2 linked regions of the Sus scrofa genome follow. The protein of the gene in region 1 interacts with the protein of each later gene in a biochemical or structural test. Links are inferred from orthologs where the notes say so. Each region holds a gene or a part of one and is shown in the gene's direction. Other genes may lie near its edges.

Region 1 (4,247 bases):
AAAAGCATTTATTATTTCTAGATATAGCGGCAACTACAATATTTAAAAAAACAAACAAACAATCCTGTGGTGTAAATAGGATTTTTTTTTTCCTTACATAAAAGAAGTCCAGAGATAAATTGTCTTGGACTGGTAGCACATTTCCAGACCCATTCTCCTCCTATTTTACTGTCCACCCATAGTCCAAGGTAACTGCCTGGGCTCTAGCCTAGGAGCAAAGGGAACTAGAAAGGCAGTCTTATGACATTCAGCATTCAGGAAGTTCCATACATCTTATTAGCCCAAATTCAGTGGCCGCTTACCTACAAATCGGATTAGGGAAAACAGACTTTTTACTGAGCAGCCAACTAAAATTTGGGTTGTTACTCAAGTGAAAGAGAATATATATTGGGCAGTAGGTAGCAATCTCATATATTTAGGGAATCTTTTTTTAGTTATTATTCATTTAGCATTTACATTCTTATGATAGTTGCATAAGGTTAACTGCTTTTCTGTTTTCTCTGAATGTTTCTCCATAATACAATGCCATAATTCCCCCTGGTCACTTAGATCATAGCTGTCCTAAACTTTTGAGGATGGAATGTGTGCGTTGGATAACTGTGCTGGTTTCAGCTAATAATTTTCTTCCTTGTTTTAGAAATACCTGCATGAGTCTCGGCACCGTCATGCCATGGCCCGGAAGCGTGGTGAAGGTGGACGATTTTTCTCTCCAAAGGAAAAAGACAGTCCCCATATGCAGGTAGGACAATTTATACCTTTTATCCTTCTCTTTACTGCTTTATATTTTCTTGGGTGGAAGCCTTCACAGTGTCTTCTTGATATTTTCACACTCCTCTCTAAATTGGATACAACATTATGTATCTTGGATTCCTTCTCATCTTAAAAGAACTAAGGTCTTTAAACCACTGGCCTCTTTTCCTCCCAGTCTTTGCCTGTTATTACTATTAATTCCTCTGGAATCACTTGATTTTCAAAGAACTAGTTTGGGTTTCTTAGTGTAGTAGGCAGCAGCAGCAGCTAACACTTAATTGCAGTGTGTCCACCATTAAGCATTTTTATAAGCATCTTTTTCATTGAATGTAACATGAGGTAAGAGTTATAGTTTGCATTTTATATTTGAATCTGAGGTTTAGAGAGGTTAAGTAGTTTGCTAAGGTAAAATATTTAATAAAATGGTGCAACTGAAACTCAGACCCAGACAGTATAATTCCAGAACTTGTTTACTCTGTAACCATACTGGTTCTTACATCTCATTCCACTAATTGTACCTTAATGGCATTTCTGAGTCAGTATATCCAAAATAGAACTCTTGATTTGTGTGTGTGTGTGTGTGTGTGTGTGTGTGTGTGTGTTTTGTTTTTTTTTTTTTAATGCCTTCACCAGACACTCACCTCAACAAGTGACATGTCCATTCACCCAGTTATTAAAGGTAGAATTGTCCAGTTCTTAAAGTTCTCTTGGTTTTAACTAAAATATAATCTAAATCAGCTTCTTGCCTTCCCACCTGCCATCAGCCTAGTCTAACCCTCTCTTCTTTGCTTTACTTAATACAACAGCTGCCTAGTCTCCCTTTTTCCCCTCCTGTACCCTCTAGTTCATTCTCCACATCTTAGTGCAGTCTTTCTAAGTATATATCATATATCACATCACTGTCTTGCTTAAACCTCTTCCACTCTCACCCTTTCTGTTTGAACTTAAGTTAAAAGTCGTAGTATTTATTTACCATGGCCAGCAAGGCTCTTCATTATCCACTCCTGCCCACCTCTGGCTCTGTTCCCTCCTGCGCTTGGTCTTTATGCTCTTGCTATAGTGTTTGTCGGTCTGTCTCCTGCACTGGGACCTTTTTTTTTTTTTTAAATAGCTGGTCTGTAGAGCTTTTCACGCCATCTTTTTTGCATGGCTGTCTCCTTATCTTCTAGGTCTTGGTTTAAATCTAAGAGGCCATATCCAGAGTGGCTGTCTTTACCCTATAATTTCCTCACAGCTTCCTTTTCTTTTGAGCACGATAATAATTATATTGTTTTATTTGTGTGATTGTGCAGTAGTCAGTAGTTGTCTCCTTCACTAGACTAAGCTGTGTAGAGAGTAGAGGATTGTTGTTTCAGATTGTATTTAGTGTAATGCCCATTCAGTAAATGTTTGTTGAATTAATGGGTTTCTCCCATTTACTGGTACGTGGTTCTGTGTGCCATCACATCCCATCTACACTATTTTCAGATTGCTCTTTATAAGATAGTGCTTTCTTAATCATCGCAGTCCCCTGCTCAGGGATGCATGCTAGTTCCTCATTTCTTTCTGCAGCAGATCTCAAACTATTAATTTAGCCTCTTTTAGCCTCACTTTCTTCACCTGTAAAGTGGACTGCTGTTGATAATGTAACAGAATAGTGGGATATCATGCAAAAAGTTAACATTAGGCACCTCCCTAGCCCAGTGCCTAGTACATGGTGAGAGCTCAGTAAATGGTAGTTATTATTCTTGCTCAAAGCCTCTGATCTGTCCACCTCCAGAAATGTTTCAACTTTTTCTTGGATCATGCCAGTTGAGGCTTCACAGAGCCTTGATGTGGGGGAACTGAAAGTGGTTATTTTGGAGTGTTGCATAGAGCTTCCCAGGACTGATCCTTGTCCTGACACTGCAGGTTTTAAGTAAGAGGCAGGCAGAGTTTAGTGGAAAGAAGATTGAAAGGGAATCAAGAGATTTGGGAGTTTGTTCTTGCTGGGTTCCTCACTAACTTTTTGACTCTAGTCCAGGCAAATCACTTTACACATCCAGGCTTCAGGTTTATCTACAAAAGGAGTGCATTAAAGTAAGTAAATTCCAACGTTCTTTCCAGCCCTGCTAAGTGCTTGTATTTAAATATGATGATCAGGAAATAATGGCACAAAAATACAGGATGACTTGGTTTCTCTGGGTCTTTTTCTTAACTGCCTAAGGACCTTTAATCCTTAAGAGCAGAACATAACACAGTTGCTTAGGAAAGAGATACTCTCTGAACTCTGAGGTGTTGAGCAATGCAGTGCCAGTCCAGACTTGGAATCTTTTTAAGAATAAGGTTTGTTGTCTCTTCTTTGCTAATAGAGCTGCATTTAAAACCATGTATGCAGGCTTAGATGTATTACAGGCCTTTGGCTAACTTAGCAAAGTCTGTGTATTCTCTTGGTGATAAGTACCGAGAGCAGTGAGTTCCCAGATGCTTTTGCAAAGGACTGTAATCATTACACTTATTTCTTTGTAGGATCCAAATCAAGCAGATGAAGAGGCTATGACACAGATCATCCGAGTGTCCTAACCCCAGGCCATGTGATGGAGCTGATCAAGGTCATGTTCCTCACACCGTTTCCCACTGTTCCAAGGAAACTGATCAACTCTTCCGACGGGACACTGACGATCACATTCTGCCCTTTTCTACAGGACAGAAACCACTTAGTTTTTAATAAGTGGTTCAGTATTATAATTGCAGTGATATCTGGCAAATTGAAGTTGCAAGCCTTTGTCTCGCCCTTTCAGTCAGGACTTCCTTCAGACTGTGGGTGACATTGACATTTCATGGATTGGGATGATGCAAGGGAGCCATGCCAGCCTAGCAGTACCACACATAGCACTTATGTTGCCTGGTGATGCCAGCCAGCCGTCTCCGCAGAGGAGAATGACCTTCTCAACCTAAACTGCAATCAGGGAAGCTGCAGCCCACTCCTTTCCCAAGGATTCTGAACAGCACCCGTCCCTCTGCTGGGGGATCTCAGGCTGACTAATGAACACTTTGTATTCAGAGATGGTTTCCAGGCAAGGAAGCTCCATCTCATGATATGGAAACAATAAATTCTCTGAGATACATTCATCTAATCTGTGGTAATAATAAGAATTTCTGTCCACCCGGATGATAGGTTGGTATTTTTGGACACCGGCCAAGAAAAAGTTAACTCTCGGGATAGACTGACAAAAGACTCAAGCACTAAACGTAGAAATTGCTGGATCTCTTAGCTTTGACAAGTTGTTGTCTACTTGTCTGTTGACAGGTCATATGGACCACAGTTCTTGACTTTTAGGACAATTTGAGGGTATTGGATCTTGAAACTGCCTTTCCTAAGTAGAGAACAAAATTACACAACTTCTGTGCTGAAGTCCTGAGGACATTTGTAGTAACTCCTAAACAGCAAAACTAGAGAGATTCTCAATCATAGGCTCCGTGACAGCATTTGGGGACTAGAAAGGTTCGTGTGTGTTTCAGTCTAGAAGGACAAAGAG
Region 2 (4,237 bases), on another chromosome or scaffold:
TAATTCCAGGAGAGTTAAAGTGGTGTTAAAGTTTTGTTGTATACACAGAGTGTTGAGCATGGCAGGACTGAGCACCTATGTTTGCAAGATTAAGCTTTGCTTGCTTCTGCTTCCACAAGTTCTAGTATTCTAAGATAAAACAAACAAATAAAAGAAGCCGATGTGCACTGATTTCAACCATCAGGCTTTCACTTTAAGCAACTGCATGTTTTAGGATTAATGTGGCTCAGTGGAGCGCTGCTGTTAAAGCGCAGAGGGTCCATGCCCGGGGTGGGGGCGGGGAACGAACATCAAGGCGCCGGAAAGTTCCCACAGGTCCTGGCCGGAGATTCTGTGAAGAGTAGCCTGGAAGGTGATTTGTTTCCCTTTGCTTTGGTCTGTACTTTTTTCCTTGTAAAAAATGATGTGGGGAGGGGAGAAGGGACGAAGAGAAATGGGGAGGGTAGTTTTTCCCAAAGCCTGGGTCCTTAGCCGGCCTCCTTTGCAGGGCTGGTTCGCATTGAAGCTGTTCAGTATTTGACGACCACGGCTTGAAAAGAAAGCCCCCCACAAGAGTGACTCGTGAGGGGGAGAGGGAGGGCTTTCGGGGAGCAAAGGGTGGCTCCGTCTTGCCCCGCGGTTCAAAGTGAGGTTGGATCGAACTTTTGGTATCAGCGGGTGGAGGGACGGCTTTTGATGTTGGAGTTGGAGGCAAGAGGTGGCAGGGCAGCAGCTGACAGGGGGTGGAGCTTCGGGCTAGAATCCCGAAGGGTTTCAGAAAGACCCGACTTCTATTGACAGTAGGAGGGGCTCCCGACGAAAGGGGCGGGCTTGGACAGTACTGCCACCAAATGGGACTTATGACAAGGGGCGTTTCTCAGGATCCAGCGGTGACTTTAGGAAGAAGGAGCGCCCGGGGGCGGGGCCACAACTGACAGAAGGCGGGGCTGCCTTCTGGATTGACCTGAGTGAAGAAAAGGCTTCTACCGATAGCGGGCGGAGCTAACACCAGCAAGGGGCGTGGCCGCTTCGAGACTTGGAAAAGGCGGGGCTTCTGTTGACAGAGGGGCGGGGCGGCCCCCTACCTCTCGCCCTGCGCCAATCCGGGGGTGGAGGCCAGGGTCGAACCCCAGGGGAGAAGCAGGGTCTGCGAGTGGAAAGCGTGGCGCAGAGCGGGGTGGGGGCGCGCGGAGGGCGCGCGCGCGCGGGAGGGCCCCGCCTCGGCCGGCTCTTCCCCTCCCCCGCTCTCGCCCCGGGTCGGCCGCTGGGGCGCGCGCCTGGCCTAGCACCCCCACCCCAGACTTTACGTTCCACCGAGTCTGCGGATCTGCTGAAGCCGTGAGCCGGACCGCCGAGCGGTTCCGGGTGTAGGGTTCACAGGTCAGAGTTGACTCCTTGAAAAGTGCAGCCGGTTTGAAATGCAAGATGGCGGCGGCGGGGCGCTGAGAGGCGCGGCGGCCCCTGCAGGTAGCGGTGCGAGCGGGCTTCGCGACGAGCGGCCCCGGGCATCCGGGGCTGCGGGTAGGAACCCGCGGCGCAGAGCCCGCGGCCAGTGCGGCGGGCCGGGAAGGCGCGCGGCGCGCGGGCTGGTTGGACGAGGGCGGCCCGAGGGCAGAGACCCCGGGGGGCTGAGCGCGCTCCGCGCCGCGAGTGGCCAGGCTGACCGGCTCGGGGCTTCCGAGGGGGAGGGACCTGGCCTGCCTGGGCCGGATCGCCGACGGGGGACAGACCCTGAGCCTCTTTTGCGTTCTCGGGTCTCTGCGGCCGCGGAAGGGGCTGAGGGTGGGCTTGTACGGGGAAATCTCAGCACCCCTCTCCTCCCCCGCGGCTACGAGAGGACCGAGCAACTTGAGATTATTGAAGGGAGTGAGGACCGGGTCTCCCTTAGAAGGGGGGGGGCGGGGGCCGCAGGGACGGAGCGCACCAGCAATGTCGAGGGTCCCTGGGGAGGAGATCGGGAGCCGGGCCCTGCCCTGCGGGGGCGTGTGGCCTCGTGGGGACTCGGTCTCCCTGAGAGTCTGGGGAGTCATCTCTTGCTGGAGCTGAGCGCACTGGCATTGCGGTTGGAGCTCGGAGAAACCCGTCTGGGAAAGGCTGTACCTCCACTTCAGGAGAGGCTGGGCACCCATTTCGGGGCGAGTCTCAGAGTTGAGACCTTAAGAACTATATAAGGTTTTGAAGAAGCCCTGGAACTTTGGGAGAAGTTGATTCAAGAAAATGTAAATATTATCTGTCCCTTTAAGGAGGAAGATGAGGAGGCTGACTGGGGACCGCTCCAAGCCTTAGGGCCTAAAGGGAACGGTTTCCAGATCTTTCCGAGGAGTGAAGGGCTAGGAGGGAGCTGTGAGAGGAAGGGGGTCTCATGGTAGGAAAGAAGAGCCCTGGCTGATGCCCTTTCCGTGTGTGTGTTTACTCCAAAGTTCTAGGGAAAGGGACTTGAAATTCTTTGTTTCAATTCGACATCCCAGCTCTCCCCTCCGTGGGTAACAGCAAAGAAAATGCAAAACCCGGGAGAAAAAAAAGGTTCCCTTTGATATCCTTAGTTTAGGATCAAGCTCCCTGGCCCTGGGGTAGAAGAATTAGGAAGCGGGAAAGGGGATGGATAGAGGAGGGATGGGGGAAGAGACTGGGAAGAGCGGGAATTCCACAGCGCTTTTCTATCATTTCACCCCAGCTCTAAAGAAAAACGTGCGAAGAGGCTAATCTTTGCGGGGGGTGGGGGGAAATGTCAGGAAAGGTAACTGAGAATTTATAATGTGATTAGGTTGGGATTCCATGTAACTTGAAAGGAAGATGCAATTGTCTTGGAGAGTAAGAGGAGGGCAGAAAAGGGAAAATCACAAGATTGGGAAATAGAGTGGTTCACAGTTAGGGAGGAAGAAGCAGCTTTCTCCCAGGAATTGTGACTATTCACTGGGTTGGAGTGTATGTGTGTACATGACCTACATGAATTAACCTTAAGATTTGCTGATCTTGGTCCTTGTTTCTCAGCCTTTGTCTGGAAGCTTTAACTTGTGTTATATGGTGCTACGTGAATTATCCCTGCTTCTAAAAAATTATCCTGAAAAAGTCGTTTGTTTTTTATGCCAGCAGTGAGGATGAGCAGATTTGGTTTTAACAGGGATATTGGCCCTAGAATATCGATAGCTTTTTAAACAATTTCTTAAGTAGCAATTCTGACTCTTGATTTTTAAGCAAAAGAAATGTGAGAGCTGCCAAGAACAATAATGCTGTAACAGGATATAAAAGAAAAAAGGCTTTCGTGAATATTTTTCCCTCTTAGTTTTTCCCTCCGTACTCTAAGTGTTTTAGGGCTAAGCAGACTAATTTTGGGAAAAATAAGATGTAAAACTTTGGATCCTTTCAGTATAGAAATGGTAGCATTTTTATCAATGACTTTTGTGGAAGGATCTTTTCAAATGGTTTATTTAGTGATCAGATTAAAATAAGAAAAAAAGAAAGTGAGATTTGGGTAACCCATGACAGCTATGACTCATACAGATTTCTTGAACCATTCTAGTATTTTTAAAAAGAGCTTTAATGTCTTCAATAGAAATATTTTAAAAAACACATTTCAAGTATAAACTAGTTTAGAGCTGCTGTTTGGAACATTATTATTCATGTATGCTGTTCTTTGGTTTCCCCAAAGTGCACGTAGGTCTAGTTTTATATTCAATTCTGAACAGATTAGGCTGGGTGAACCAGAAAGGCATTGATGCCAGATGGTTTGAAAATATGCTAAGGCTGAAAACATAAAGTGCCTGTGCTGGTGAAAACTCATTAGTAGATGTCGCTCCCTTATAGTGAGCTGAGCTGATTATTTCACTGGATTGGAGAACAATTCATGAACGTTGTGGCAGTTGTTTCACCTTTAATGATACTTGTATTATAAGTTCTTTTTTCCATTAAGTATGAAAAAAAGTTTTACAGTTTATGAATGAACTTGATAGCATGGTGGGGTGGCTCATTTTGTTTCTATATTTCACATTGAGACTGAAAGGTGATGTTATGATGCACTATACATTTTCTTTCTTGCTACATGGGCACAAAAATGTGATATTTGGAACTTGGTTTGCTTTAAATTATCTCTTTATACTTAAATGGAATGCTCTTAAAATTGCTAAAATGATTACAAGTATAGCTGAGGAAATAACCTTTTTATGTGCATTGCAGCATTGTAGATTTGGGCTCAAAAGACTGTACTTATTTGAATACTAACAATGATGAACAGTTCAGTGCCTAAGCTAGTTTTTAACCT

The links. The genes of interacting proteins can lie anywhere in the genome.
Region 2: the proteins of NFYA (region 1) and ZHX1 form a complex in vitro, tested with the Homo sapiens proteins (2 studies listed by BioGRID). The link is inferred for Sus scrofa from reciprocal best matches to the Homo sapiens genes NFYA and ZHX1.

Annotation. Positions count from the first base shown.
Region 1 is NC_010449.5:36,403,610-36,407,856, forward strand, and holds the end of NFYA (nuclear transcription factor Y subunit alpha), read left to right. Parts: intron 1-637; coding exon 638-739; intron 740-3,237; coding exon 3,238-3,291; 3' UTR 3,292-3,840; downstream 3,841-4,247. UniProt on the Homo sapiens protein: Component of the sequence-specific heterotrimeric transcription factor (NF-Y) which specifically recognizes a 5'-CCAAT-3' box motif found in the promoters of its target genes.
Region 2 is NC_010446.5:16,099,746-16,103,982, forward strand, and holds the start of ZHX1 (zinc fingers and homeoboxes protein 1), read left to right. Parts: upstream 1-1,034; 5' UTR 1,035-1,446; intron 1,447-1,999; exon of another isoform or gene 2,000-2,198; intron 2,199-4,237. UniProt on the Homo sapiens protein: Acts as a transcriptional repressor. Increases DNMT3B-mediated repressive transcriptional activity when DNMT3B is tethered to DNA. May link molecule between DNMT3B and other co-repressor proteins.